5 linked regions of the Nothobranchius furzeri genome follow. The main gene of each other region encodes a partner of the protein of the gene in region 2 in a complex. Links are inferred from orthologs where the notes say so. Each region holds a gene or a part of one and is shown on either strand. Other genes may lie near its edges. The genes, in order: lamtor3, lamtor1, lamtor5, fnip1 and flcn.

What was found.
Region 1: lamtor1 (region 2) and lamtor3 share a complex: the UniProt entries of both Homo sapiens proteins name them as parts of the ragulator complex. The link is inferred for Nothobranchius furzeri from reciprocal best matches to the Homo sapiens genes LAMTOR1 and LAMTOR3.
Region 3: lamtor1 (region 2) and lamtor5 share a complex: the UniProt entries of both Homo sapiens proteins name them as parts of the ragulator complex. The link is inferred for Nothobranchius furzeri from reciprocal best matches to the Homo sapiens genes LAMTOR1 and LAMTOR5.
Region 4: lamtor1 (region 2) and fnip1 share a complex: the UniProt entries of both Homo sapiens proteins name them as parts of the lysosomal folliculin complex. The link is inferred for Nothobranchius furzeri from reciprocal best matches to the Homo sapiens genes LAMTOR1 and FNIP1.
Region 5: lamtor1 (region 2) and flcn share a complex: the UniProt entries of both Homo sapiens proteins name them as parts of the lysosomal folliculin complex. The link is inferred for Nothobranchius furzeri from reciprocal best matches to the Homo sapiens genes LAMTOR1 and FLCN.

What each region holds. Positions count from the first base shown.
Region 1 is NC_091758.1:44,827,245-44,832,996, forward strand, and holds lamtor3 (ragulator complex protein LAMTOR3), read right to left. Parts: upstream 2,875-5,752; 5' UTR 2,758-2,874; intron 2,579-2,757; 5' UTR 2,556-2,578; coding exon 2,547-2,555; intron 2,177-2,546; coding exon 2,142-2,176; intron 2,069-2,141; coding exon 2,010-2,068; intron 1,936-2,009; coding exon 1,802-1,935; intron 1,708-1,801; coding exon 1,644-1,707; intron 1,576-1,643; coding exon 1,502-1,575; 3' UTR 1,337-1,501; downstream 1-1,336. Other genes in the region: dapp1 (dual adapter for phosphotyrosine and 3-phosphotyrosine and 3-phosphoinositide), read left to right, coding at 896-919. UniProt on the Homo sapiens protein: As part of the Ragulator complex it is involved in amino acid sensing and activation of mTORC1, a signaling complex promoting cell growth in response to growth factors, energy levels, and amino acids.
Region 2 is NC_091753.1:34,138,340-34,144,861, reverse strand, and holds lamtor1 (ragulator complex protein LAMTOR1), read right to left. Parts: upstream 3,602-6,522; 5' UTR 3,425-3,601; coding exon 3,383-3,424; intron 1,845-3,382; coding exon 1,699-1,844; intron 1,432-1,698; coding exon 1,354-1,431; intron 913-1,353; coding exon 789-912; intron 710-788; coding exon 617-709; 3' UTR 252-616; downstream 1-251. Other genes in the region: sfrp2l (secreted frizzled-related protein 2-like), read left to right, coding at 5,704-6,229. UniProt on the Homo sapiens protein: Key component of the Ragulator complex, a multiprotein complex involved in amino acid sensing and activation of mTORC1, a signaling complex promoting cell growth in response to growth factors, energy levels, and amino acids.
Region 3 is NC_091755.1:27,980,857-27,987,409, reverse strand, and holds lamtor5 (ragulator complex protein LAMTOR5), read right to left. Parts: upstream 3,813-6,553; 5' UTR 3,706-3,812; coding exon 3,671-3,705; intron 3,591-3,670; coding exon 3,529-3,590; intron 1,989-3,528; coding exon 1,871-1,988; intron 625-1,870; coding exon 564-624; 3' UTR 320-563; downstream 1-319. UniProt on the Homo sapiens protein: As part of the Ragulator complex it is involved in amino acid sensing and activation of mTORC1, a signaling complex promoting cell growth in response to growth factors, energy levels, and amino acids.
Region 4 is NC_091750.1:58,894,920-58,901,281, forward strand, and holds the start of fnip1 (folliculin-interacting protein 1), read left to right. Parts: upstream 1-2,841; 5' UTR 2,842-2,947; coding exon 2,948-3,039; intron 3,040-6,362. UniProt on the Homo sapiens protein: Binding partner of the GTPase-activating protein FLCN: involved in the cellular response to amino acid availability by regulating the non-canonical mTORC1 signaling cascade controlling the MiT/TFE factors TFEB and TFE3.
Region 5 is NC_091745.1:76,767,713-76,774,123, forward strand, and holds the start of flcn (folliculin), read right to left. Parts: upstream 3,767-6,411; 5' UTR 3,560-3,766; intron 3,442-3,559; coding exon 3,235-3,441; intron 2,901-3,234; coding exon 2,754-2,900; intron 2,668-2,753; coding exon 2,446-2,667; intron 2,341-2,445; coding exon 2,174-2,340; intron 2,077-2,173; coding exon 1,985-2,076; intron 1-1,984. Other genes in the region: leng9 (leukocyte receptor cluster member 9), read left to right, coding at 4,248-4,353. UniProt on the Homo sapiens protein: Multi-functional protein, involved in both the cellular response to amino acid availability and in the regulation of glycolysis.

The sequences.
Region 1 (5,752 bases), on a different chromosome or scaffold from region 2:
AAAGCTGCATCGATGCTTATTTGAAAGTGAAAATATTACTTAATCATTCCTGAGAACAAAACTATTTGGTGTTTTTGTGTGTTAGCGTACGTAAATGTGGCAGCGGTGCAGCTTGAGGGGCTGCGAGTAGGGTGACCAGATGGCTCACTTAGGGGACTTCTGGTTATTTGGTTTGGAGAAAGGTTTCCTGGTTTAAAACTTTGACTAAAGTAGCGCTCGTCATTCATCAGCTCCTGCTTCGAGTGCGTCGGGGAGCGTGGATCCACCCAGAACATTTACACATCCAGGAGCCTGAGACAGTCCAGAAGCTCATAACCTCTTCAGCAAGCTCCCTGGAGACATCTGACCATTCACAAGCTGCAGATGAGCAGCTGGGGTCACGCGGCGTTCGGGCCGCAGCAGTGAAAGGTTCCTACTCCAAGTGAAAACGTAGTTTATGTCCCTGGGGCACTCTGAGCCGCTTGTTTGGACTGAATATGAATAAAAATGAGTTAGGGGTTCTCTTCCAGCAAACATGCGCTGCGCTTGTATAAAAAATCTATTTTTGGGCTTCTTCTGTGTTCGCTAATCAGTCCGTGCATCGCTTTGGTGGGAAAAATGATCCAGATCACCCAACCCTAGTCTGAACTGGATCAGGAGGCCTGCGGCTGCATGTAAGTGAGGGAGCTGGTGGCCTGAGGTCATGACCTCTACAGGAAGTCAGGTGGACATGATCTCAGTCTTGGAGAAAGTAGGTTAGATGAAGATGCACGTCTCTGGATGTGAGTCCAGCTGATCCATTTCCCTCATGTTTCAATTAACCGACGAGTCCAAGGAGCCTTGAAGCTCAGAGGACTTGATACTTCTGAATGTATTTACAGTTTCAACCATTAATCCACCAACTATGTGTTTCCAGTCTCAGGTAAGAAGAGGCCGATGACACTCGTCTGCAGCTTCCTCCTCCAGGTTGTCGTGGAAACGGTGAATGAGAACCATCCGGAACAGGACTCATATTTTAAATGAATTCTGTTCATTCTGAAGATCTTTATGGGTCCATCAGAAGATCAACTGCTTCACCAGTTAGCTGGAAGCTCAGACATGTCAGGGTTCTGATGCTCGCCATGCTGTATGCCAGCAGCAAAGCATTGTGGGTAGAACTGACATGTGAGTGGCTTATTTATATCTCCACATGAGAATGTGAGTTTCCAGAAGCAGGAGAACCAGTTTTATTGTGGAAACACTTTGTTCATGACTGATGAATGTTTAAATTAAAGCCTCTGAAACCATCTGGACTCCGTCTGCTCTGAGGTTCTTATCTGTATTCTTTAGGTTTAACTCTAAATGAACCACTCTGGTGCCCAGAACCCACACATTTATTCAGACTAAAAGCACAGATGGAAACATTTACAGCAACGTGAATGAATCTGGTCCACACTGAACAAGCTGCAGGCAGAATTTCCTACAGAACCCAAACACATCGTGAGGATGGTGGTGAGCAGCAAGTCTTCTGGTGAGTCGGAGACTATGTCACCTCCACCACCTGCCTCAGATCCTCTATTAGAGGAGTCAACTCCTTCTCCAGACTCATGATCAGACCTGAGAACACAGAACAGAACACTGAACCAGACTGAACATCTGTTTGTCTCCATAGAGACAGATGTTACCTGTGTTGGCACCGCTGCTGGCGATCAGGCTGATAACCAGGGGGAGGCGATTGAACTGCACAATCTGATTAAGAAACACGCATCACCATGGAGACTTATGTAAAGGCATGAACATTAATGCATCCCTGTGCCGACGCTCAGAGGAGCTGCTGTGTGACCTGGTAGGAGTTGTAGTAGCAGATGATGCTCTTGTTCTTGGACAGGCCGAGTTTGCTGCCCTGATCTGTGGCCAGAGCGAAGGTGGACAAGAAACCGGGTCTCAGCGCTTGGACGGGGGCGTTGTCATTGGCAACTGTAAAAATGAGAAATGAGGACATGGCCCCCTTACCCGGGCAGGTGAGGAGGACTTTAGCACTGGCTCCTTACCTTTCACAACTGGAACACCGTCTCGGTCCGTCACTACGATGGCATGAAGACCTTCAACACTGGGAGAGTTTAAATGGATCAGTAACAACTACATACGGGTGAAACACTGAGCGTTCCCATGGAAACACCAACCTTTGGAGCTGTTTGTACAGGAATCTCTTCAAATCCTGCAGAGAAACCCACAAAAACTGGATTAAACATTTTATTATAAAAGTAAGACAACAAACCACTCCATCAGTGCTGTGTGAACAAAATGACAACTGGACGCAAAATAATAAAAAGACTGCTGCTTTAAATGTCTGGTTGCTGGTTTAATTCCTATTTCAGCGTCTCAAGACAAAACAAATCAATCTCAGACTCGTGACTCATTTAACTGATTAAAACAGCTTCTAGAGAAATCTGCTTTAAGCTGCATCTGATCAGACCTTAGAAAACACCAAAATGAACCGTCTCCGTTTGCAACATAAACACACCTAGCTTACTTTGTTTAAAAAACTGTAAAAGTTCTTTAAAATTGAGAAAACTGGTCATACTCACGTCTGCCATGACGGTCTGATCTAGTTAAGTCTCTGTGGGCAGAAAACGAATGTTAACAAATAAAACCTCCCACAAAAACCACTAACTCAAAGTCTACACTCAAGTTTAAATAAAACAAGCTAGCATGTCAGCTAATCAACAGAGATGCTGCTTCCGGTACAAACGGCCCGCTAAACAAAACACACATAAGCTATAAAAAATGCACAAATACCGTCTTCAGATGACTTTAAACACCGCTGAGACGCTCTACATGCTAAACAAGAGCTACCAGCTACCAGCTAAGTCACATGACATACGGGGCTTATTTCCGGTTTGTGCGGAAGTGTTTACGGAAGTCTGTGCTGCGTGGTTTTAGCCACGAGAGGGCAGTATTACCCTGCTTTACAACAGGACAAATGTCAAGATACGTTTAGATATTTTTACAACCTGTTCGAAAGTCTGACGTTTTTATATGACGTGATTTTTTTTACCGTTTCATCACTAATAGTATGACTGTTTAGCATATTGTTATGATTGTACGGTTTTTAAATATTTGATCACTCATCACAAGGATCATACAATCTCCCTTTTTTTTTTCGTGACACACACACACACACACACACACACACACACACACACACACACACACACACACACACACACTAGGGATTTTTGTAATAAGTGCGTGTAACAGCATCAAACTACGGTACGTGTGATGAGAATGTTAAAAAACAACAAACTATAACTGGCATGATTTTTCTGCATGTTTCCATGACACACACCTTTCTCTCTTTACTTCGCAGGCAGTGCATCTGGTTTCACCTGAACACAGTACAGCTGACTATCAGGTCATGTTAGGAACGTCTGCGCCGCCTCTGAGCGGTCCCTGTTGGACCGTCTCGATGACAGAAACTGGATGGCAATACATTTCCTCAGGCGCAATGATGACAAGGTCACGCTGTTAGGGACAAATGGCCCTGGGAAAGTTCCTGATGGCGACCTGTCCTCCCTGGCACCCTTTAGGAGGTCTCTCATTACCAACCTGGGAGTTGAGATAGACCCCCTCATGAACTTAGATAGCCAGACAACAGCAGTTGTAAGATCATGCTTTTATCAGCTCAGGCGTTAAAGAAGGATCGAGTGGTACGATGCTGCAATCTTGCACTCAAGCATTCCCTCCCTCGTGAACAAGACCCTGAGATACTTAAACTCCTCCACTTGGGGCAGGACCTCATCCCTGACCCGGAGAAGGCATTCTACCCTTTTCCGACTCAAGACCATGGTCTCAGATTTAGAGGAACTGATGCTCATTCCAGCTGCTTCACACTCGGCTGTGAACCGCTCCAGTGAGAGCCGGAGATCATGTTCTGATGAAGCCAACGGGACCACATCATCTGCATAAAGCAGAGACTCAATCCTTGGTGCTGCATCTGCAGTGATGCGGGCGTTGTACCGGTCTGTCGTGGTGAAGAGAGAGCCGAGCCGGAAGGCGAAGGTCTCAGTTTACCGGTCGATCTACGTTCCTACCCTCAATCCTTAGAGATAGGGTGAGAAACTCGGTCATCCGGGAGGGGCTCGGAGTAGACCTGCTGCTCCTCCACATCAAGAGGAGCCAGTTGAGGTGGCTCGGGCATCTGGTCAGGATGCCTCCTGGACGCCTCCCTGGTGAGGTTTTCTGGGCACGTCCAACCGGGAGGTGACCTAAAGGTAGACCCAGGACACGCTGGAGGGACTATGTCTCTCACCTGGCCAGGGAACGCCTTGGGATTCCCCGGAAGAGCTGGCCCAAGTGGCTGGGGAGAGGGAAGTCTGGGTGTCCCGGCTTAGGCTACTGCCTCCGTGACCTGACTCCGGATAAGCGGCTGAAAATGGATGGATGGATGTTTTTAAAATAAAATTGATGACACTTATAGTGTTAAGTTTATTTTTATATTTTCACAACACAAACGCACGAGGTTTGATCATTTTCCTCACACATATTAATAGTTAAATGAATCATTTCCACGGCACATATTATCATGTTTTAGTCACAGTCGTGGTGCCCTTGGGCAAGGCACTCCTTACCTGCAGTGGTTGGAGGGACCGGTGGTGCAGGTGAGCCCCAGAGCAGCGGGGAGAGGGGAGAATGACTGGTAGGCAGGAAGGTGCCCCTGATCTCCACCAGCAAGCTGGTGATGTCCAACATGGCGGTGCAGGTATCGCCCCTCTGGAGGCAGGCGTTGCACATTAGCACCTACCTACCCTGCTACCCCACATACGTAGTTCATGAGTGTTTTTCATCAGAAGAACCCCTGAAGGACGTAGTTGTTCGTCCTTTCATCAGAACCTATTTTGAGCCTGAGAGGGTTAAACTGTTGCCTCGCAGCAAAAAGGTTGCAGGCTCAAAACCCAACTGCAGTCTTTCTGTGAAGCTGCAAGTTCTCCACATGCAAGCGTGGGGTTCCTCCGGGTTCCCCCCACAGATGACCCTACAGGTTAACAAGTTGCTCTGGATGAAAGCGTCTGCCACATGAATAAACATAACAACGTTTAGCGTTTCTAAAAAATCCACTTTGGAATTGGAATAAAAATCTTTCCTGAGACCGTATCAGTTTTTCCTCTACGGGCATCAGGAGAAACTCTGATTTCCACGTCACCTTCGCTGCCACCTGCTGTGTCAGGCAGCAGCGAGCTGCAGCAGGTCGTTGAGAGGTTTCCGTGTGAAGGACACTTCGACCAGACATGAAACCAAATAAATCGGATTCACTCAGAATAAACAGCCAGACGCGTGGCGCTGACTTCCTGTCTGCTTGTCTCTGTTTCTGTGGCTGTTTGCTGTCTGTCTGCATTTCCAGACAGATCAATACTTGCTCACGGGCCCCGCCGACGCACACACGGAACGTTTTACTCTCTTTGCTTTCCAGTGATTCCACGGGAACAAAATGTTCCACAAACCTTTCCATTGGGTCTGCTGACCGGTTCTGTTGCTGACCGGTTCTGTTGCTGACCGGTTCTGTTGCTGACTGGGTTTAGCGTAGGACGAGTGGTGGTTGTGCACCGGGCCTCGTTGGGGCTTCACTCTTGTGTTTATGGTCTGGAAAAGGGAACATGCTGCGGTTCTAAAGTCCATCAGATGTTTGGGAGAACCGGTCGTGACCAGACCCAGCTGCAGCAGTAGCCTACCTTTAACCCTGAGCAGGACCTGGAGGCAGGAACAACGTACCCGGCTGTCAGACAACAAATAAAGT
Region 2 (6,522 bases):
TGTTCAGATTTAAACATAACTACAGCCAGGCTGATGTGATGGCTGTTGATGCTGATCCCAGATTAGAAGAGACTCAGCTACAACCTGCTAAATTATAGCGACCTCTTAAGTTGTGGTGGACAAAATGAACACAATTAAAGTTGAACCTGTGAGGTTTCAGTGAATAAACCACGAGTCGAGTTTCTCACTGTGGCTCTGTTACAGGTGATTCTGCCATGGTGTGAAGTTAAACCTTGAGGTTGAACAGAAAGGCCGTGAAAATCCTATTTATTAAAAAATCAAAGAGGAATAAATCTTTTCAATTTTTCCCACGCCTAGCTTAACTGAGCCATGATTCACACACAGTGGTGTTCTTGATGAAGAATACAACCATGTCCATCCTCGGTTTCTCAAATGATGACTGACAAGCACCAGTGTCCTTTAATAATTTCACTTAAGTACAGAGTGAAATTATGCACAGTCAGTCTTTAAGAGTCACATCTAACAAGGATCAATAGCTTTTAATAAAACGTGGGCTGAAGGATGATGACGCTGGAGTGACTGACAGAGTGAGTGAGTGACAGAAGGGAGAGAGAGAAGGATGGGAGCAACGATATGCAGGTTCAGAGTCTCAGAATCAGGGAATGGCAAACTGGACCACCAGTTCCTCTTTAGCATCCACTTTGATTTGAGAGATTGCACTGTAAGCATAAGCCGCTATCTTAGACACCTGCGAAGGAGAAAGAACAGTTACTGTTGGTGTGCTAAAGATTTCATCATGTTAAGAATGTGATCTGTGTGTGATTTACCTGCTGAACATCTGAATATGGCACCAGGTCACTTGCAAGAACTTGGTGGGGCTGGCTAGTTAGAGAGGGAAGAGTGTCTGCTTTCTTTGGGGGCAGGTTGGTGCTCAACACAGCCAACTTTGAACTATAAAAAAACCCAATCAAAAACAAACTTGCAATTAATTTGAGTTAAAATGACTCAAAAACAAATGTTTTCCATGAACTGAACGGCTGTTTATTCACAAGTACGTTTTTAGATGCAATATAATTAGATGCCCACTAGAGGTCACTAAAAAGGAGGAGGCAAGGCCGGCCTTATTGTAATTTTGAGGTCTGGTGTTGAAATTCCTTATTTCATGTCAGCAGTTTTCTTCTTCCCCAGCTGTATGGCCTCCAAAAAGACAGTTTTACGTTGTTCATTTCCTGAATGACTTTAATAAAACATTTTTAATTAAAGCCCAAATAAACTTCAGATTCAGTCTCATCAACAACTCTTTCAGGTCAACTAGTTCCAGAAGAATAAAAGTAGAACCTCCCATCAAAAATAAAGTATCAGTCTATAACAAACATCTACTCGTCTACATGCCTGTATTGTCTAGCTTTGTCCATGTATTCACGCTGCTCCATAACCACTGATTCCGTTGCAGAGACATCAATGATATTCCTGGAAGACAAGAAAAACAACGTTAGTTATATTATGATTATTCTCTATTCCAACACTCTTAACGGATGCTGTAGTACGATGCAGTCACACATCATCGGTTATAGTCCCAACATCCGTGTAGTGCTGCACTAGTAACCTGGAGGTGCATGACTAATACCTTCTAGTTCAATTACACAAATGTTATTTCACATGATCTAAAAGTCATTGATAAAGTTTCTTTGGATGGTAAATATGTTGTGTTTAGACTCATCAGTGGAAGCGTCTTACTGTGCGGCCTTCGTGAGGATGGATGTAAGGATAGCCTGCTCAGTTGCCTGTGCAGAGGGAACACTGGGAGTGATCCAGTCGGTCCCATTTGGAGGTTTGTTGACAGGGTTCGGATGGGGTATTAGTGACTCCGTTTCACTGTTCTTCTAGAGCAGAGTTGGAATAAAATAGAAATAATGTGATCAGGTAGTTTTAGCAAATTATACGTTTAATAAAACAAACAAGAGACTATGAGATTAAACGATTAGTTATTAGATATGTTTTCTGGGGAGAAGGAGTAAACGTTACACAAAATATATGTAGAAGAAGAATTAATCAAAGTTTGTTTAAAACAACTTTCATGCATTATACAAATGTCCGTCCAACTTCTTTACGATTACATGTTATAAACAATGACAGAAATGTATAAAGGTGGGGGACACTCATTTAATAAGTAGATTTACAGTGGTGTCTAATAGGAATGAATGCCTTGCAAGTTGTACTCTGGAGGAAAAAAAGCTCCAGTGCACCTGTTTCAGGAACTAGAATATTGTCACATTAGAGGAGAACTTCAAATGACAGGAGCTATACTCTTACGTCCTGATATTTGGAAACCTTGTCTCAGATAACACAAGCCTGATAGAGTTCTGCCATGTGGTAGAGTTGCTAATGCTAATAGTAATGGTTAGCTTCTACTAGCCGAGACACACTGTTGTTTCCTGGATGATAGACCAACAACAGCCTTCCCTGTGAGTCATGATGGGTGAGTCCATGAATGTTAAGTGACAGTGTGACGTAAATCTGTCAGGATTTTCTAATCCTAGCGTTTCATCGTCTGTCTTCTATCAGAAGCTAATGCTGGAGATAGGTGTAGGAGACTATGTTCATGTTCTGCCTGAATAAAAAACTCAAGAGTGGTCAGTTATAATCAGAAATGATCATTAAAAGGTTTTTCAGTGTTCCAGACCTTTAATTTTCCTTTGTTCAGAAACAGAGAGCTGATTATATACAATCTTAAATATATCAAAGTCATTCTGCCTTAAAATTTACATTTATCTGAAACTGTAAAGAAAAATGTATATTTTCAGACTAACATAGGTTAAATAGACTGGTTGTACCCAGGTTGTACCCTAACCCTAAGATGAAATGTATTAATCTACTTAAAGAGAAACTGATTATGAGGAAGGATGAAGACAAACTGGTTTATTTCCCTAAACTAAAATAAAACTGGGATATTTACAGCAGCCATATGACACCACGCACATCCACATGATGTTCAGTTATTTAGCTCCTTGACACACGGGTCACAATTGATTATTTAGCCAATAAGTAGAGAAGAAATCAGTCTATTCCTGATTAGCAGGACCTTTGGGAGGCTATAAATCCTCATGCCCCACTAAACAGGACAATAGCAGAAAATGATGTGCTCGCAGCTTTACTAAACACTTGATTTTTGCCCTCAGGACAGTTTATTCTGAACTGTTTCTGACCTGCGCTAACTCAAAGGGCTGCCTTTAGCCCAGGCCTTAGCAAGCTGACGCTTCCTGTTTAATGTTACGGACAACAAACGAGTTATGTGTGAACATGAAATGGCTCATTCACTAAACACTGTCAAGACACCTAGCCAGCAGAACTTATTTAGTGTTTGAATAAACGAATGAAGTTAACTGTTTTAGCTTTAGCCGCCAGCTAGCTAGCTACCTACCTCCCTGGAGTTGTCGTCCTCGCCACTGTAACAGCAACCCATGGCAACGTCCAAGGCTGAAACTAAACTACCCCGGCTTCCCTGCGCTCCTTCAGAAACGAGCAGAGCTCTTCTTCCCCTGCAAACATAAAGCTTTGTTTGTTTCTTACTGTTGTTACTACGGCCCCATACAAAAGTAGGAATCTACTGTCCACAGCAGCTTCTGAGTGAGGCTATCACATGACAGCAGCTGTGGTGCAACAACAACACAACAACTACTTCCGGTATTTGAGAAGCAGCGACGTCCCAGGACACGTGAGGGCAGAAATGTTGAACGTTCTTATCAGAAACCTCGGCAGAACTAAAAATGGTGACTGATAATTAAAAAAAGCATAAATGTTCCAGTCATAGGGGCTCCCAAAACAGGATTTGCTTTTTTCAATAACTTTATTGAACAAAGTTCATTTACAAAATAAGAGAACAAATGAAATACAAGCAGAATACAGCATTTTGCGTTTTTGCCACAGTTAAATGTTTCATGTTAGCAAAAAATAAATAAATACGGGGAGAAAATAACCCAAGTAAATAAAAGTCTGTTTTCAAATGATGGGAAAAAGTCTATATCCAAATCAGTCCAGGGGAAAAATTACTCCCTAAAATTATAGTTGTAAAACTTTGTGAGACATCAAGAGCATGCAAGCATTTCCAATAACTGCACATAAGTCTCTCACATTGGTGTGGAGAAGTTTAAGTCTACAATTCATTTTAAATGTTTTTGGCATGTTTAAATTAAAAGTTCAGACATTCTCCATGGGCCAGGTACCGTTTGTATGATGATCTTTTTCTGAAACTCACTGTTAGTTTCCCACAAGATGAGTCACAAATCTTACAAAACGTTTCACTTTTGTCTCAACGGTCCACAAAATGTTCATCCATCCTTTTGTTAAACCAGATTATCCATGCAGGCATCTATAGGCAGAGACTCAAACCCAGACCAAGGGCAAATGGGAATCTGATTTTTTTTTATAGGACATTGGTTTGTGTAAGTTGGACAGAGTTAGAAAATAAAGCAAGTCAGCACAGGTACTGTTCTACTGGGAACCTTTGCTCCTTCCTTTTATGTGGATGCAGTTTTAACATTTACAACCTTCATGGGAGTTGTTGCATCTCCTTTTTCTCTCATGCCAGCAGCTGTTTCAGATGGGAAATGTGCCACTAAAGTTCAAGAATAACTGTTTTTTAGCTTTAAAATGTTGTTTTAGAGAAGGGTATCCATGTTAAATAACTGATTATTGTGTAAGATAATGAGATTGCCTCTTTCCTTTTTGTCAATCTAAAAACATCAAGTGTTTGATCAAAACTTTTCCCAAGCTTGCTGTGCAGGATGAACAAGAGACAGAAACAGGATGAGGCATGTTGGTGAACAAGTGGCAGCTTCTCTGAGAAAGATGAAAGGGTCTCAGATGCCTTTGACTGAGTGCATAATAAAAACAGTGTAACAAACCAGTTCCAGTTTATTTCAGTCAATGTTTTCAGATGACAGCACAACTCATCAAAAATTTTGGTTTTCCTATTTTTCAAATAATGCATCAATTTAAATGCAAGCACATTTACAGCTTTGCATTTAACTTTGTGTTTCAACAGTTTAAATTTTAAATAACTTTAAGTTGTTTTTGTTGTCAGTGTTTGATTTACAATATTTTAAATTCTTTAAGGGCAAAAAACAGCACATTAATGAGTGATAGTTTCAAAAGCTGTCAAATTAATCTGCGTTTATTTAGAAACAACTATTTATACAATCGTTTTATACAGTAGTTTATACATTATGTTCAGGATACATGCATAAGAAACTATAAGCAAAGCAATAAACACACAAAAATCTGAGCTAACGACTTTAAAGAAGAAACTGAAAAATTGGCGCGTGGTGATTGGAATCGGCAGATCTTTAAACATATCTGGCTTGTGGAGGACTGGCCAAACTGAAACTTAAAAGTCTGCTTTGTTTGTTTTTCTTTTTTGTTTCAGGTTCATGAACGCATCACTGCAAGCATTAAAAAGATATGACATTTTCCCTTCTGAACTCCCCTACTCTACAGATTAAGATTCATAAACTAAAGTTTTCCTAAACTGTTGTTATTTGTGAGAAACATGAGCCCAAAGTTGGTTCTGGCAGGTCAGAGCCGAGCAAGAGTCTAAAATCATAATCGAGTCATCTCAGATTGAGCTCCTCTGGTGATGTCAGAAGCAGCCTGATGGGTGGGATGGACTGGGAGGCGCCCTCTCCATAACCCTACCCTAAACAGGGAAGATCTGCTCTGAAGACTTCACCAGGAACAAGAACAATGTCTGTTTATCTGCTCAGCTTTGTCCTGCTCTCCAGACTGTCTCGCGCATTCGATGCAGTGGCTCCCGTCCACTTCGGACCCCCTTCCCTCGGATTCAGCTCCTCTGTCCGCTCGGTGTGTAAGCCCATCCCGGTCACCCTGTCTCTGTGTGACGGAATCGGCTACAGACGCATGTGGATCCCCAACCTACTAGGCCACGATACTCCTAAAGAGGTCCAGCAGCAGTCGGCGGCCTGGCTGCCGCTGGTCTCCAAGCTGTGCCACCGGGACACCAGGAAGTTCCTGTGCTCGCTGTTCGCCCCGGTGTGTCTCCCGGAGCTCAGCGGGCCCGTCAGCCCCTGCAGGAGCCTGTGCGAAGCCGTGCGGGACGGATGCGTGCCAGTGATGAGCGCGTTCGGGTTCCCCTGGCCCGAGATGTTTAACTGTAGCCGGTTCCCCAGCGGAACCGAGCTCTGCATCCCAGCGACCGATCACCAGGCTGGGCAAACGGAGGAGGAGGTCAGGCATGAGGAGGAGCTGAGAGGTCTGTGGATACCCAAATACTACTGTAAACACTAACCTGATGAGGAAGCAACATTTTAAAATAAAAACTATCAGAGATTCGCCGATTCTGGTTTTCAGAGCCGATACCGATCACGTTGATGTTGGAAATAAAAAAATAACAGATCTGTTATTGCTAAATGGTGTTCATATAATTCTGTTTTATCCTGCTTGACAATTGTGCTTTCATGGACCCAAAAATAGAGAAAACATTTTTAAATGTAGCCTATATTTATTTAGTTATTTCTATTAAAAGTAGCTGATGTTTGATTTAGC
Region 3 (6,553 bases), on a different chromosome or scaffold from region 2:
GCCGACGAGCAGAAGAGAGCGGTGCCCTCACCGCGGAGAGCCACGTGACCGGGACGGCGCATTGAGCCCCCATTTGAGGGTTGATGGGGTGGGGAGAGAAACCACCTCTGCAGTCACTACAGACTTTACTCGGGTCATCCGGTGCGCCCGTGCGCCTCAGACGCACATGGTTGGAGTCTTTTTCATGCACATCTGATTTTCCAATCAGCAGAACAGAAAAGTCGTTTAGCCCTGTGTTCTAACATCTCAGTAATGAATGCACAAGTGTTGCCAAAGATAATGAACTGGTTAACCACAAAATAACACTCCAAAACACAGCTGAAAGTCAAGTTAACGTTTAATCAAGGTTATTGAGTGTTTGTGGCATTTAAGATCAGACAAACAACCTTCACTGCATTTCACACAACATGATCAGTTCTGTTCATCACACCCAGTCAACAATACTCCTCAATATTACATCTACAGCAAACAGGAAATCAGTGTAATTCCCACTTTTCTCTGATTTGTTTGGATTGTGTATGTTTCATGTCTTCATCCCAAAACTCCTGAGGCTCCTGTTGTCTTCACGATGCAATCTTGTGAACCGCTACCGTGATGGTGCCATGACTCCTCACCAGAATGTTTCTGTTAAACAATAAAAACACCAATATTCACCTGATAATCAGAAATCACACGGATGATCAGGTTGAAAAGTGGTGTTTTGGTGATCATCGTTTGCTTCGGTCCCACCTCTCAGACATTCACCACGACATTCATTTAATAATCTTACTGTAACTCTACTAAAAGGCACCAATAGAGTTATCAGTGCTAATAAAAAGAAACAGATTTTCATACCTTAACCATCTTTAATAAAGCATAAAGGTTTATCATAATTTTAAAAAATCTGATCTCTAAATCATTTATACTAAGTGTAAAAAATCAAAAACAAAATTATTCACAAATTCTGGTTTTATGGTTTCAAACATAATTAAAGCAGTGGTTCCAAAAGTTGGGGTCCCGATGGCCCAGTGGTTCATGGAACACTGAGTTCTGGCTGTGGAGATGATCAATCACAACCTAAAAATACTGTTTGAATATAACTGATGTAAAAGCTAAAATAAGCCTTGAATCGGACTCAAAACCGTTTGTATTTGTATTTATGTTATTTAGACTTTTGAGATAACAAATTATATCTGAGATTGAAAGTTCGCAGCAGTAATTTTAAATAAATAAATATTCAGGAGCTGTCATTGGGTTGGTAAAATGTTCTGAAAGACGAGATGTTCATTTACCAGAAGATGGCAGCACAACGACATAAATAAAATCCCACAGTTGGTTGACTTCCTCCCTCTCCATCCTCCATGGAGCCTCCGTCCACTAAAGAGGACATTGGCTTTTTAATTTTTTATTCTGTAGTTCAACTTTGGACCCGTTTTTAATGATGATGGGGTTATTTAAATGTCTACGAGGTTATTAGGGGAAATTAAAAAGGGCTTGGAGTCTCAAGAAAATATCTCAGCTGCCTTTTGGGAAAGAAATGAACAACATTCTGGAATCTAATGCCAAGAACCGAGCATGTTCAGTTCAAAGTCACAAATGGCATTGCCTTTGGTAAGTAAATAGAAACTGGAGGAACCAGATAAGCGTACTGGTTTTAGCAACCGCGATGAAGGCTCGGACCCGGATGCTAATAGCTGCTGGGAGACAGTGAACCACTGGATCAGATTCAGAACCCTGAGTCTCTGGTTCTGATCTCTCTCAAAAAGCTTTTTTTAGAGTAATTGATCTCCGTACACATTAATCAGAACCCCCAAAGGTACATCTTAAATACCCCGAGATAGATTTTTAAAAAGAATTACAAGTCAAGCTAAAACCCGGTCAGTGCTCTCACCCTGACTCAGACTCCAGGCACACGGTCGGGGTGACTGTTGGGTCTCTGGTGAGCGCCATAGCTTGTTTGGACAAAACAGACACAACACCACCATGTTCATCAGACAAGGAGCCACGACCTAAAAGAAAAAAGAAAAGAAACACGCAATGAATTATTTAAATGTCTTAAAAAAAGGAAATCAGTGCATCTTTCAAACAGTCATTTTCTGTGATTTGTGTTAATTCCAAACCTGTATACAACAATGACCTCCTTATGAAGGATTGTTAACATATTACAAACATTTCTGTCCCACTGCTGTTATTTAGTCCAGACTGAGGATTTCTGAATTCTGGGGTCTCTCGAGGATCTGAATCATGTTGAACTCATTGTTTGGTTTCTGTCTTCTGCATCTTTTGACTATTTCATTTAGGTTTGTCCATGTACCAGGGAAACATTGCTACTGACTACACAAAACAATACTCATGTTTACCCACTTCCAACAGTTACATCATAACCTTTTCAAAATAACTTTCAACAAGACCTAAAAAGATAATAAAAGTATGAGGACGCTAACAAAGAGCTTAGACTTTGCTGGATGCCTCTGTTATAAATATTAATTAAACCGAACAGAAAAAATATATATACTGATATATCCATCATTTTTCTTCCAATTATCAAAGTCTGGGTTGCTAACAGGTCCAGGAGCGAAGCTCAGATTTCTCTGATCTCAGTGACTCTCCATCTCCATCAAGACAGCTAGAGGGCAGACAGCCCCTCCAGCAAGTTCTATGCTCCAGCAACCGTCAAGCTGTGATTCTTCAGACCACATGATACCTGTCAGCTGCTGCAGGAGTCCTCTGGGAAGTAAAATAATTACTTTATATTATCATCAGTTGTTCTGCTTTGTGTTTCATTGCACAGCTGATGAAAATGGACTGGATATGTTCTGAATTCACAGCCTAAGTAAAATTTAGAGCATGTTCATCTCCCTGAAGTTTGATGAATTGTAGAAGAGATCAAAGTTCAAACTAAACCATGGAAGCCAAACAAGTAACACAGAATCAATTCCACGGAGTATTCACTTTCCCAATGACAGTAATTGTTGTATGTGAATAATGTTCATAAATGACCTCACTAACTAACTGCGTGGTTATTAAGCATTTAGTATTTATTAGTTTATGAGTAATAATCAACAATAAACAATTATAAGCATCATTTTGGATTGGTTGTGTTTAGAGAATTATAAAAACATTACATTTTAATTTTAATTATACCTCATTAGCCTTTGTGATTAAATTTAATTACAGCAGCTTCCTGTTGACCTGTTAAACAGCCAGAAGAGCTCATTCCATCAGAAATGCTAATCTCATTATGCTAACAGTGCAAACACTGTGAAGATTTTCTGGCATGTGAAATAAGTTGAGATTTTAATGGTTGAAATGTATGATTCACAGTAACTTCAACTATACTGTAGTATGTATTTCAACCTTTACAGATGAAAATAGCTAAACTGAAGGAAATAATATTATTTGTGTGTTACATTAATAGCTTTTGCTGCAACTAAGTTATTTCATTATTCAAAAAAAAAAGAACACGACACTGACGTAGCCTTGTAAAAGCTAACTAAACCGAATATGTTTCATACATTTTGCTGTAAATCTTTTTTAAATTAATCTTACAGCCCAGGTTGTGTCCTTGGTGATCTGTGCAGAGCACACCGACAACTGCTGGATTCTTCATGCTACAAAAAAACAAGGAGAAAGGCTTTAATGAAACAAAAAGTGAAGTACGTCAGCAGTTAGAGTGAGATTTTTAACGTACGTGTCATCGAGATGCTGTTCAAGAGTCGACTCCATCGTTAACAAACGAAAAGAGAGAAGGTTTAATTGTTTACAGTTTCATCGACGTTTCCGGTTAGAGTCAGCTGACCGTCACGTGCGCTACGAGTCACAACGAGGACCAAAAAGTGTGACGCGAAAGAGAAAGAGAGAGAGAGAGAGAGAGAGAGAGAGAGAGAGAACGCAAAATCTTTCCATTTACATTACATAAACAAAATAGGCATAGATAGATAGATAGATGATTGATAGATAGATAGATAGATAGATAGATAGATAGATAGATAGATAGATAGATAGATAGATAGATAGATAGATAGATAGATAGATAGATAGATAGATAGATAGATAGATAGATAGATGATAGATAGATAGATAGATAGATAGATTGATAGATTGATAGATAGATAGATAGATAGATAGATAGATAGATAGATAGATAGATAGATAGAAAGAATTAGCATTTTCCTTCAAGTTTTATTAAATTTTCCAATAATAATAATAATAATAATAATGTTATGGGCGGCACCACCTCATCCCCCGTCACACTGAACACTGGTGCACCGCAGGGGTGTGTGCTGAGCCCTCTCCTGTACTCACTCTACACCTACGACTGCACGGCCACGAGAAACTCCAACATCATTGTGAAGTATGCGAACGACACCACAGTGATAGGTCTCATCACCAATCACGATGAGACGGCCTACAGGGAGGAGATCAGCGCCCTGACCCACTGGTGTCAGGACAACAGTCTCACCCTCAACGTCACAAAGACAAAGGAGATGATAGTGGACTTCCGGAGGAGCAGAGGAAGCAGAGGAATACACCCCCCCATCACCATCAACGGCGACGCTGTGGAGAGGGTGAGCAGTTTCCGTTTCCTTGGAGTTCACCTGGCAGAGGATCTTACGTGGTCAGTGCACACGGAAAATACAGTGAAGAAGGCACAGCAGCGCCTCTTCTTTCTCAGAAGACTGAAAAGATTTGGCATGAGCCACCGTATCCTCAGGACCTTCTATTGCTGTGCCATTGAGAGCATCCTCACTGGATGCATCTCCACCTGGTATGGCAACAGCACCGCTTACAACCGCAAAGCTCTCCAGAGAGTAGTGCGGTGTGCAGAAAGGATTATTGGAGGTGAGCTTCCCTCCCTCCAGGACATCTATAAGAAGCGGTGCCTGAGGAAAACGGGGAGGATCATCAAGGACTCAAGTCACCCCAGCCATAAACTGTTCAGACTACTTCCATCAGGAAGGAGGTTCTGCAGCATCCGGTCCAGAACCAGCAGACTGAGAGACAGCTTTTTCCATCAGGCCATCAGACTGCTGAACACTTCACAGACACCTCACCCTCACTACTGAAACTCCAACATTACACATTCCATACTGTACATTAATGCCACTGTTTTGCACATACCAGCCTCTATATATTTTATATCTCTTATCTTATTGTTTACTTTATTCATTTGTATATTTGGATTAGCCATTTTTATATTTTACATGTTTTTACGTTACTGTATTTTTGCACAACTCTGTTGCTGTGAAGCTCGCACACAAGAATTTCACTCGCATGTACTGTACCAGTGTACCTGCACATGTGACGTGACAATAAAAGTGATTTGATTTGATTTGATAATTATTATATTATATAATAATTATTATTAATAATTAATAATAATAATAATAATAATTATCATTATCATTATATCATGGATGTTAAAAACACCATTATAATCCAAGTTCCACTGTCCTATGTAAGATGAGTCATTGAGATAATTGATATAATTTTCATTAAATAGATAGAACTGAAGCCCATCTAGCCTCATTGTCTGCAGTCATAACATGGTTACTTGAAAATGTGGTTTTGATTAATGTTGTCACTGACAAGTGGAATCATTTCCGGAATCCAAACCATCAGAGCTGATTCCTATTAGGTTCTTCATGAAAACAATATTTTTGGCATGTCTGTACAATTCAATGCATTCCTTCGCTCAAAATCACCTTGTGTATTTGTTAAAATTAGCATTTGCAGCACTTTGATGATGGAGTATTTTAAAGATATTTCTTCTAAAGTTAGTTTGATACATTTGAGCTCTCCATCCTGTATAACTTCGCCTGCCTATTCCAAGATGGTGGGGCTTCAGTGCTCCTGCTGACTGAGCAGAAATGGGTGAGTATAATTATGTGGCTGCAGCATTGGGGAATCCATCACTGGAGCAGCAACAGTGCAATGTCCTGCTGACTAACCTATGGGCTACTCTCTCCCTCCTTTCCTCTAATTCTTCTTTCTTTGCTTCCCCTCTTCTCTTTCTCATATTTCTCCTTGTGCATCTTAAATCACCAGAAGCCTGCTTCCGTTGACAACCAGCCTCTCATCACTGTCCCAGTATGCACGTAGGCAATGGTGCAAGTACGCAGAACCATTTCCTAGATTTGTTACGTCACAGTTTCTTTTCTGGTCACACACACACACACACACTTGTATATGTTTATGGGTGTGACACACACATATGAGGAAAGATGGTTGACTTTATGGTGGATCAGCAAATGAGCTCTGACTCAGCATCAATACATCATCAACCTGTTGTAACTCCATCCATGGAAATCAAAACAAATCAAGACATTTTTTTTATATTTTAAATTCTATTTAGTAACACTTATTTAAAATATGTGGACATTATTCAAGAAAAATTTAAAAATTTATGTTTGTTTTTTCAAAAAGGACATGGTAGATTACACTCAAATTTGATGCAATAAAATAAAAATACTATTATTCATAAAGCACTGTTGTTACCCATCCTTTACATTATGTTAGTTGGATTTTTTGAATGATCAAATAAACAATAAAAATTCTGAAAACATGGGAAAGT
Region 4 (6,362 bases), on a different chromosome or scaffold from region 2:
ACAGTGTGGAATTTTGCAAAATCCCACCCCAAACATTTGCATGCGGCACACAAGTTAACATGCTGGCCAGAGGAACCTCAGCTAGTGAACTAGTAGTGGCTTCAGTGTGACACTTACATGTAAACTTGTGAAGGCGGAACTGCTCACTAGTTAACTAGAGAGGGTACAAATGTCCACTAGTTAACTAGTGAGGTGCAAAATAAGTGTCACTAGTTCACTAGTGGGCCCCAAAATGCCCACAAGTTAACTAGTAAGGTGCGGATATGCTCACTAGTTAACTAGTGAGGTGCAGATTTGCTCACTAGTTAACTAGTGCACCCTTAAGCGCCCACTAGTTAACTAGTAAGGTGCAAAAAAGCATCACTAGTTAACTTGTAAAGTGCAGATATGCTCACTAGTTAACTAGTGGGCCCCAAAAAACCAACTAGTTAACTAGTAGGGTGCGGATTTGCTCACTAGTTAACTAGTGAGGCGCAGATATGCTCACTAGTTAACTAGTGACGTGCGGATTTGCTTACTAGTTAACTAGTGAGGCGCAGATATGCTCACTGGTTAACTAGTGAGGTGCGGATTTGCTCACTAGTTAACTAGTGAGGTGCAGATTTGCTCACTAGTTAACTAGTGAGGTGCAGATTTGCTCACTAGTTAACTAGTGAGGTGCGGATTTGCTCACTAGTTAACTAGTGAGGTGCGGATTTGCTCACTAGTTAACTAGTGAGCATATCTGCACCTCACTAGTACCTCACTAGTTAACTAGTGAGCATATCTGCACCTCACTAGTTAACTAGTGAGCAAATCTGCACCTCACTAGTTAACTAGTGAGCAAATCCGCACCTCACTAGTTAACTAGTGAGCAAATCCGCACTTCACTAGTTAACTAGTGAGCAAATCCGCGCCTCACTAGTTAACTAGTAAGCAAATCCGCACTTCACTAGTTAACTAGTGAGCATATACGCGCCTCACTAGTTAACTAGTGAGCAAATCCGCACCCTACTAGTTAACTAGTTGGCGTTTTGGGGCCCACTAGTTAACTAGTGAGCATATCTGCACTTTACAAGTTAACTAGTGATGCTTTTTTGCACCTTACTAGTTAACTAGTGGGCGCTTTAGGGCGCACTAGTTAACTAGTGAGCAAATCTGCACCTCACTAGTTAACTAGTGAGCAAATCCGCACATCACTAGTTAACTAGTGAGCATATCTGTGCCTCACTAGTTAACTAGTGAGCAAATCTGCACCCTACTAGTTAACTTGTTGACATTTTGGGGCCCACTAGTTAACTAGTGAGCATATCTGCACTTTACAAGTTCACTAGTGATGCTTTTTTGCACCTTACTAGTTAACTAGTGGGCGCTTTAGGGTGCACTAGTTAACTAGTGAGCAAATCTGCACCTCACTAGTTAACTAGTGAGCATATCCGCACCTTACTAGTTAACTTGTGGGCGATTTGGGGCCCACTAGTGAACTAGTGACACTTATTTTGCACCTCACTAGTTAACTAGTGGACATTTGTACCCTCTCTAGTTAACTAGTGAGCAGTTCCGCCTTCACAAGTTTACATGTAAGTGTCACACTGAAGCCACTACTAGTTCACTAGCTGAGGTTCCTCTGGCCAGCATGTTAACTTGTGTGCCGCATGCAAATGTTTGGGGTGGGATTTTACGAAATTCCGCACTGTGATTGGTTGTCATATTTTATTTTGACACAGGGAGCCAATAGAGAGTCTTAATTTGAGAAATTCTCCGCCTCCTAATTAGAATGCTGCGCAACTAGCTAGCTAGTGTGAATGTAGACTTGAACTAGTTTACTAGTATACATTTATGTCCTCACTAGTTAACTAGTTTGGACAATGGATGCATCAACTAGGTAACTAGTGAGCCTGCTGCCATCAACTAGCTAGCTAGTGAGTCATTAATGGTTCACTAGTTAACTAGTGGCACTGACCTACTCCAACTAGTTAACTAGTTAGGAGTTAAGCCTTCACTAGTTAACTAGTGTGCACATTTTGGCCATCAATAGTTAACTAGTGAGACACAAAAAACCTTCAACTAGCTGACTGGTATGCACTTTGGCCTTTACTAGTTAACTAGTGAGCCATTTATGTGTCAACTAGTTAACTAGTGAAGCCAAAATGTGTTCACTAGTTAACTAGTGCACATTTATGTCTACCACAAGTTAACTAGTGTGCACATTTTGGCCATCACTAGTTAACTAGTGAGACACAAAAACCTTCAACTAGCTGACTGGTGTGCATTTTGGTCTTTACTAGTTAACTAGTGAGCCATTTATGTGTCAACTAGTTAACTAGTGAAGCCAAAATATGTTCACTAGTTAACTAGTGCACATTTATGTCTACCACAAGTTAACTAGTGTGCACATTTTGACCCTCACTAGTTAACTAGTGAGACAAATACCTTCAACTAGCTGACTGGTATACATTTCTGCTTTTACTAGTTAACTAGTGAGCAGTTTTTGTGTCAACTAGTTAACTACTGAAGCCTAAATGTGTTCACTAGTTAACTAGTGCGCATTTCTGCTGCCACTAGTTAACTAGTGGGCACATTTTCACCCTCGATATTTAACTAGTTGACACAAACATGCCTAACTAGTTAACTAGTGGACAGAAATGGCTTACATGTTCATGACAATTCTGGCTGATATCCTGATATCAGAATAAATGCTCATTTGGCTTGCCATACAGACCAAACATCAACACAGCGAACCCTCTAACCACGTGGTACCCAGCCAATAATATCAGCCAATCACGTAATTTGTTGCAGCTACCACGCCTGCTGAGCCAATCACAAAAAAGCAGTGGGTTACTAAGCAGCTCCTGTGACTAATGCCTGTCATATGACTCTGACACCCATGGAGACAGTTACAAGGAACAAGATTTCCTCTCGGATTTAAAAACAAAAGAAAACTGTAGAGAATTTCTTTTGGTTGAAAATGCCTCCGACTCTCTTCCAGAAACTTTTCAACAAGAGAAGTGCAGTCTCGTCGCCGCCTCCGAGATGTAGCAAAGGGGATCCCGCTTTCAGGTAGCTGTTTTGTGTTTGTAAATATGTTTGTGTGCAACGTTAATTGCGCTAAAATTGTGTAATTTGTTAACCTGTGTGGATGTTTAACGGTCTTCTAGTGATACTTGATTTGTTTTTAGCCGGCTGGGGTGTACACAAAAAATCTTTATCCTTTAGAAATTTAAACCTTGGTGAAGGAAAGCGGTTGGAGACGTGGGAAACGTGCTTGTTGTTGGTGAGGAAGCTAACGTGCTAACGATAGCTCCTAGCAATGCTACTGCCCACGCTGCATTAGTAGCTTCCCTCGACAGCCGATTTAAACAAAAAGCCCTCATCGTTTGCAGTTGATACGAAGTTAGCACAAAATGCCTTGTCTGGAAAGTGTCGTTTTCCACTTCATTGCTATGAAGTTGCAGAGGCATGTCCTTGTTTTTTTTCCTCCGCGTGTTTCCGCTCGAGTTTTTTGTTGTTACTGGCGATACAGGCAGTTTATCTCTAGCTAGCATGAATAAATTGGTATAAGTGGCTTTTCTCAGCCTTGCAGACGTTGCTGTGTGGTTAGACAACAGTGGAGGACACTGTGTGCTCTAGCGGAGAGCATGTGATGGCTCAACTTGGCCACCAAGGCACGGATCAATGCCAAACAGGGCATCAGCCTGCAGGTCATTCACAACGTTATGTATATTTTAAAGGAAAATTAAATATTGCTTCTCACACACGTTTCATTTCCAAAGTAATTTTGTAAAAAATATAATTTCGAGTTTGAAGTGCTTTCATTATATTTATTATTGCCTGGAATCACAATGTTTCCATTATTTTAGCCCTAAAATTAGATAAAAGAACTGCTTTGATGAACATTTTTGGCTTTTTTTTTCAGTTTAATAAACAGGCAGTTAAAAATAACAGTTTGAACATTTGTATTTTTTCCCTGAAATACATGTTTTTAATCTTTTTAGAGACCACTGATTTTAGTTAAAAACAGGGGCAGATTTAGGACTGAAGAAGATCCGGGGCTTAACACACACACACACACACACACACACACGCACACACACACACACACACGCACACACATGACACGCACTAGTCAACATATATATTTGTCTTGTACCACATAATTTTTAATCTGAAGCTACTTATTAAGCATATTCAGGGCAGAGTATTGTTCCTGTTAATGGTTAGTGTGAGATGATAGTAAATATTCCCTTTCTTTCTCCAACAACTTTACCTGATAAGCTAACTTTAGGCAAACCAGCAGCACAACAAATATTTTCAAATAAGACTCACAAACCTGAGTCAACACCAGTCTCATCAAAGCTGGGGTTCTGTCGTTGTACTTTTGGTCTAAAAAACGTCCTTATGTCCATCTTCACACATGCGTTTCAGGCAGACTAGAAGAAGCCGGCTGCTGAAGGGCTTTTTCTTCAGTAGTGGAGGCTCAGGCAGGCTGTATACAAACTACTGCCAGCTGCTCCCTCTCTGTTGGACTTTGGTACTGCATGTTACTTCCGCGATTTAGATCAGGGGCTTTTCATAAAACATCCGGGGCTTCAGCCCAAGTAGCCGGGCCTAATGCCGCCCTCGGTTAAAAAGCAGCCAAATCAAAAAGAACAATACATTATTATATTGTTATTAATAATAATGTTATTTGAAAAGGGACCCGCCCACTGGCAGAGCAGCAGGCACCTTAATAATAATAATAATAATTAATAAACCTCTCTGCCTCTGAAGGTGTTTAAACCTGCAAAAAAGACTACTTCCTTTGCTTCTATCTCAATAAATACACAAATTGCAGATGATTTGGGTAATCATGTCAAATAATATTTTCCATTTGACTTTTGTCATTTCTACCTGTCTAATCAAACAATGAATGTATGCCAATGTACATATCATTAAAAAATGTCTTTTTAGCCAGAATTTTTTAATGAATATATAATTAAACAAAAGCCCTAATTTTATGGTTATATTAATCTGTTATTTACATGCTTTCTTTTGCCATTTCACCGATTTGCAGTGGCATTGTCTCAAGTAATTGTAAGCAAATGTTTGAGTTCTTGTGATATTTTTCAGGCCTAACCCATTTATTTTATTCCTGTTAATTACATTCAATTAAACGATGATACTTTGGGGGACAAAGGTGTTTAATGAGAGCAGAATACATGCGCATGCTGCATATGAAATGAAGAATATCTAAGACCAGTACTAAGCTGTATAAGTATTTATTGAGGTAATAGTTAATGTGGTAGAACCATGCATCTTTGAGAAGGTTAGCGTAATACTAGGAAACTCAGTTAATTTGCACATTTGTATGTTCAGGGTCAGGTATGCTACCAAGGAGAACGGACTTTAGAGTTGCAAATGCCTTTTCATTTTGAAAGATGTTGCTGCCATCTTTTCATGTTATTTTGGATATATATTTATATCCAAAAAGTGCACCTCCTTTGCGGTGCTTCTTGCACGTTGACCAATGTTGTGTCATAACATTTCTGCAGCTGTAAAGGTGCCCTGCACCCACTGATGTAAAGGCTGTGTGTGTGGGCTGAAGGGAGGGTGGAGGTGGCTGGCATCAGTCCTAGAGCAAACAGACAGTCAGCAGGCGTTTCTGTTAACTCAGTGGTCAGCTGTGCTCTTCATACCTCTGGCATAAGCTCTCCATTCATCAAGCACCAAGCGGCTCTCCAGGGGGGAAATCTGTTAGGAGATGTGGTTGGAGAGGACACGTAGACGACACGGTCTATTTTAATCGAGGCCTTTTAAGAAAAGTGTCCTAGAGATGTTACTCTGTTGTTATTTTCATGCAGATCTCAGACAAATCTAATCAGATTTGTGTAAATGTATATTTTATACAGCCTCTGCAGCTAATATTAATAATTGACAAAAATAATTCAAAACAAAAAGGGTTTGTTTTGCATCCGTGTTGGCGTGTACAATTTGCCACCCGCCAGAACACCGTCAGAGGCGTTCAGAATACCAGCGAGGGCAGCAGGTTGGCTGACGCTTGGAGGAAAGCCTAAAAAGCCTCTCCTCTTTCTCTGGCTGCATCAGCTGACCACTGGCAGCATAGTGTACATTACACCCAGATCCTCTGGCTCTGCCAGGAGCTTTCTCCACACTCGGTGCCTGATCTGACAGCTTGCTGGGGAAACTTTCTTCTTGATCCAAGCCACACATACGTATGAATAAATAACTTTAGTCAGACAAGCTAAACTGGATTTTTTTTTGAACATCACTGAAAAGTAAGGTTAATAAGTTTAATCGTTTTTCAACCCTGTAAATATCCTTTATACACTAAGTTAGTAAATATTTATTTAACCCTGATCGTAACCCCACATAAAAGAATGTAT
Region 5 (6,411 bases), on a different chromosome or scaffold from region 2:
TCAACAGCAGTCGAACAGGCGTCCGCCCACGGCAAAACAAGACGAAAGGCCGTTCCTTTAACCGCTAGCCAGCGCAGCAACTGACTTGCCTGAGATGCTGTCGTAGGCATATTTTGTTAGAGCGGAAGTGGGCGGAGCTTCACTGAAACTAATCGTTTCTATTCCAGGTATAAACTCAGGCTGATGAAAATAACTCCTATTTAAATGGTAAATGGCCTGTATTTGATATAGTGCCTTCTAGAGTCCTGGAACCCCCCAAGGTGCTTTACAACACAACCAGTCATTCACCCATTCACACACACATTCACACACTGATTGTGATGAGCTACAATGTAGCCACAGCTGCCCTGGGGCGCACTGACAAGGCGAGGCTGCCGAGCACTGGCGCCACCGGTCCCTCCGACCACCACCAGCAGGCAACGTGGGTTAAGTGTCTTGCCCAAGGACACAACGACAGCGACAGACTGAGCGGGGCTCGAACCTGCAACCTTCCGATTACGGGGCGAGCACTTAACTCCTGTGCCACCGTCGCATTTAAGATAAAATGACATCTCAATAGTGCCGATGGTAATGTTTGATCATATACTGTGTGTACCGTTACTCTCAAAGGTTTAAAATAGCATCATCTGGAACCTTTAAAACATGGTTGGTGGTTTCTTCCCAGCCTTTAATGTGCTATCATATAGCCTGGCCTGCCAGACTCCTCCTCTGTTTAATTCTGCACAGAGAAAGGGTCTGGGAACTCCCCTAATCAAATAACCATGAGGAATCTAACCGAGCCAATCAGCGCTGAGCATTGTACGTCACACACCATAACGCCGAGTTTGTCGTAAACATGGCGCCTGAAGTGGAGTTCGCTGCGGCTCTTTCCTCTGTTCTAAATTACTTGAATGTCTTTAGAACCACAACAAGCAGAAGTGCTAAAAGCCTTTCTTCTACCCTTTCTCAGTGGCCTAGTGGTAGAGTGTCCTGAGACTGGGAGATCAGGGGTTCAACTCCTGGTCGGGTCATACCAAAGACTGAAAAATTGGGACCCAATGCCTCCCTGCTTGACACTCAGCATTAAGGGGTTGGATTGGGGGCTTAAACCACCAAATAGTTCCCGAGCGCGGCTGTGTCTGCAGCTCACCGCTCCCCCAGGGGATGGGTCAAATGCGGAGAATAAATGTCACACACATACCTGTGTGTGTGACAACTAATGGGACTTTAACTTTGACTTTAAAAGAATAATAGATGTCTGCGCCGTTGCTAGACGCCATTTTTTAACTACAGCGTTGCATGGTACAGTCGGCATGTACGTCTTTTTTCTCATTGGTTATTTTTGAGCTGTCTAGTCCCGCCCCTCAAGTGCCTCTCCGCCTGTGAGTTACCAGACTCTTTGTGCAGAATTAAACAGAGGACGAGTCTGGCCGGCCAGGCTAGCTATCATCTACATTACCAGACAAATATTTGAGATCACTTGAAAATATCATGTTTCTTTCTGCTGCGTGCCAGAACCCTGTTGCGCTGATCTGGGAACAGCTGGCCCATAGGGTATATGGGGGGGGGGGGGGGGGGGGGTCGCATTAGATAATCTGCTAGAAGGAGACACCCAGGAATGTCTGTGGGCTGCCAGGCTGTGACTACTGCAAAGCTGCTCTGTGGTTTTTGAAGAAAACATTGATCATTTCCATTAAATGATTTAGAATCATGTAAAAAAAAGGTTTTTGTTTGGACATTTATTTTTATTTTTTATCAATGAACAAAGTTCATTCCACAGTCGTGTCTGGGCCGAGCCCCAAAAATTCTCCAAAAGTCTTTTAATCACTTTCTAAATCTCGACAAACCGGGGTTTAACTGTGAAGTGGTGTGTCATGTTTTCCTGGATCAAATGCCTTTCCCGATCGACTCTGTGATTCACTCTTACGGATTTCAGGCTGACTAGTTGAACAAACAAAAACACTAGCCATAGCAGTGAATGTCTGATGAAATCATGTCTTTCTACCTGTTTTTCTCTCAAGAAGAACCAGCGTGTCCTCTGTTGGGGCTCCTTCAAGGAGCTTTTCTGTCAGACGACAACCACAGGCTTTCAGTAACCTAAAAAGGAAGTGAAAACACACATCAGCTTGGTAAGTCATAAAAGTAACGTGGAGAAATCACAATGGCTGGCTATTAAAAGTCTATCTCAACTCACCAGCTGAAGGAGCAATGCAGGCTGGCCCAGAGATTGGGATGCTGAGTGAGAGAAGTTAGCGATCGGGCTGCGTTGCCACTTCTTTGATGTGGAAAAACCGCAGGAGAAAACACGCTGTTCATCCTCAGAGCTCGCTGGGGACAAATACCCTGTTCAGTGTCAAACACCTGATGGACAAAAAGATGGCAAAACAGCACAAACTGACTTATTAAAATGACAAAGTGTTTGTCCAGTAAAAAAAAATGAATGCACAGTCTACATTTAGGCTCTACCTTTAGAGCTGTGCTTTGCAGACTTTGTATAGTGAGTTTGAGGTGTCGTAACAGGAAAGGCCAGGAGTTGATGAGGTAGATCCTGTCCATGGCCACTACAACTATACTGTACCAGCGCTGAAACCCACGGGCCAGGCTGTCCTTGATGAAGAACGTGTGTGAGAACACAAACCCGTGTTGTTCATCACCGAAAAAGATCGGCCCTTCACGTCCAGGGCACACCTGAAACCCAACAACAAAAAGACTCGCGTTTTTGGAGGAGGGGAGGTTAGAAAAGGTCCTCCTCAGTTAGATCAGGTAGAGTTTACCTCACAGCTGAGACTGCGTACACAAGCCTGACGAACTACACTGAAAAGCTGAGACTGTCTGGGGTGCTGATGGCTCACAAAGCGAATTCCTGTTTCATCATCGATGCTCACGAAGCCTGGGTGAGACGCAGGTAGAGATCGGCATCCCTGTGAGGCATGGACAGGAGGGAAAAGGAGAACTTCGATTACAGGATTATTAAATAATGTTGCTGCTCTATCTTCTTAAACCATAATGAGTTGTGGCGGGTGGCTGCTCATACTGAGCCTGGCTCTTCTGGGGCTAAAAGGGAGTTTTCCACTCCACTGTCGCTACACACTTGCTTAGTGTGAGCACTGCAATCTGCTGAGTTCCTTTGTATAGAAATGTTTACTATGTGAAGTGACTTGAGACGACTGTTGTCGTGACTATAAATAAACTGAATTGAATGAACCTTCTCCAAGGTTTACTGTGGGTGAGATCCCATCACGCATGCCCACTCACCTCACACATCTCCCCTCTTTGAGACACAGACCCGCTGGCCCTCATGGTCAGACCTTCACCCTCCCGATCAGCATCTCTGTCCCCTGGAACCGGGGTGCCCACCTGAGAGGAGGGGTCTGGGGATGGAGGGTGTAGCGCCTCGGTACAGAATAGTGTCCGAGGGCCATGGAGCTCACAGAAGTGACACAAAGCTACCAGAGCATTCATCTGAGAAACGGATCAAGCGTTTATGAGAATCTAATCAACGTAATTTATGACATAGTTTTTATTCACAAGCTAACACCCGTTTAAGCCATTTTAACCAGCAGCAACGAGAGGATCTCACCTTTAGCACTGAGAGTTAGACTGGAGCTCGCTGCTGCTTCACTCGTTTGTGTTAAAAATGTATAAACAACAAAAGCGTGACGCTAAATCAAATATTTCGTCTACATGTCTCGTATAAAACGCGCGAATTCAAGAGAATAAATCCTCTCAGCACTTTCTCGTCTCAGTCTCGAGTTGTTAGCAAACAGCACAGTCACGTGACCTCGAGTCACGCGCTCGGACACAAATCATGACGTACGTCACGGAGTTGATTAAGTTTAATCATAATTACTATTTTATGATTTATTTAAAATAAAATAATGTCGTCTGTGAGCAGATAGTTTTCATATGGGAAAATGTGTTGCTAGCATTTGACTTTACGAAGCGTGTTTCGTCGAAAGACAACATAAAACTACATTACCCAGAGTTAAGTTCGAGGAGGGTAAAGGTTACGAATGAGTTGGTCAGCGTTTCTCTAGAGTGCTAAAAAGTACGGAGCTACAGAGGACCGTGTGGTAATGTACTTTTAATAAATATAAAACACCATTTCTTAAAACGTTTGTATTTGTGATTTAAATGTAATTAACATTGTATAATGTTGAATTTACAGCATGTGTGTTTACTTTATTAGCTCATCAGTAACTTCCGTGTTTCATTGTAAAGGAAAAGGCAAAGCCCAACAGGGACGTAGGAGCCTTTCTGAACTGGGAATGGCGTCAGACGGATCAGGAGTTCCCCCAGAATCCGCAGTGGACGGTGGAGGGACCCCCCCAGCTGAAACTAAAAGTAGGAAAGATGCCCAACAAGCCACGAGAGGTAAATGCCTGTTTTAGTGTTTGTCTTTTCTCATGTCTGTCATTCTCTCTCTCTCTCTCTCTCTCTCTCTCTCTCTCTCTCTCTCTCTCTCTCTCTCTCTCTCTCTCTCTCTCTCTCTCTCTCTCTCTCTCTCAATATATGTATATTTATATGTATATAAATATAAAAAAATCTGTATTTCTCTCTCTCTCGCCGTCTTTCTTCCCTGTGTCTACCCACCTGCCAGTCATGTTGGTCAGATTTGGTTCTGTTGTCTGAGTGAGCCTCCAGTGACTTGGCCATCTTCACCACAAGTTGCAGTCACTTCCTGTTGCTCTACAGATGCATCTTGTCAGTAGGTCACTGGTAATGGTGACAAGGATGGAGAGGGGACTTTTCAACCACAGCCTTCTGCTGAAGTGACTCTTCTGCAGTCATGTGTGGTGTAGAGTTGAGCAGAGATGCTCAGTGTGGTAGCCCCCTAACCATCTCCACATTCCAAGTGGTCGAAACAGGAAGATCTAGCAAACAATGGCTCTGAACTAGCAATGCAACTGCTTTGGTGGAAAACCCCTAACCTCACCTCTGTAACATGTAGCTCACCTCAGTAGCTCAACAGGTTGAGCGGGTTGTCCAGTAATTGGAAGGTTGCAGGTTCGATCACGGCTCCGGACAGATAATTCTGCTGTTGTGTCCTTGGGCAAGACACTTAACCCACCTTGCCTGCTGGTGGTGGTCGGGGTCCGGTTGCGCCTGTGCTCGGCAGCCTCGCCTCTGTCTGTGCGCCCCAGGGCAGCTGTGGCTACATTGTAGCTCATCCCCACCAGTGTATGAATGTGTGTGTGAATGGATGAATGATACACTGTAGTGTAAAGCGCTTTGGAGTCCCTACTCTTGAGAGGCGCTATACAAGTGCGGGTCATTTATCATGTTTGATCCTCAATGCCAATGAGTCCAACTGCAAAGCTTTCAATTTTGTGCCAAAGGTACATTTGTGTGTTTGCAGATTAAAGTTTAAAGGACTGAGTACACACCCTAGGGCTGCACAACTAATAGTTATAAAAACCGCAATCTCAATTCATGCGTGTACGCAATCTCATTTCCAAATGATAAGGATTTTAAGCAGCTGGCTAGACAAGAAAAGGACAATGTTCTCTGTTGTGATCCTGCCATGGTCAACAATTATGCTGTCCTGTTAAATGTTACATTTTGTTAATAATTGCGGTTTACATTTTAACAAACACACATATTACCTACGTCTTTCATCACCTTACAAGCAGAGAGAACATTGTTCAAAACAGTTATCGTTTAAATTATTTAAAAGTTGTGTACGTAAGTTGATATGCAGGTAATAAGTGCAATAAATACTTATTTTGGATAATAATTGTAAGAGAATCTTGATCTCAATTTTAAGCAAACAAAATAATTGTCATTCTCCTTTTAACCAAAATTGTGCGGCCCTAACACATCCCTGATTATCTTCTGTGTTCGGCTTATGAAGCGTTTTTTTTCGTTGTCTTCAAAAACACCTGTGAACTCAGCAGTAAAGTCTTTTAGAGCATATCTCAGGTTAGTGTTGGGTTCGGGAGCTTTGTGTGAGTCGACTCCGCTCACACACCAGCAGTGTGAAGAGGATGGTGGGAGTGGTATTCTCTACCTGGTGTGAGTCACAGCTACAAAAATATTTCAAAAATCCCCTACTCTCATCTTTGTGATACTTACACACAGGGATGGACAATATATTGGTATCAATGTCGGTATCGGCCCAAAAATGTCATATCGGTGCATCACTACTTACACATATTATTGAATAGCTTTTAATATTTTAGATGGAAGCAAGCAGCAACAGCCACACCTCTGTTTCCTCATAAAAAGCAGTCTACCTTATTACCTGAGTAAATAACATAATGTGTGTGTGTGTGTGTGTGTGTGTGTGTGTGTGTGTGTGTGTGTGTGTGTGTGTGTGTGTGTGTGTGTGTGTGTGTGTGTGTGTGTGAGTTCTGGTAAGCCTTACATTGTGTTGCTGTTTCTTCTCCTAAGGCTGAAATGGCAGCTGAAAGAGGGGTGTGATGGATGGAA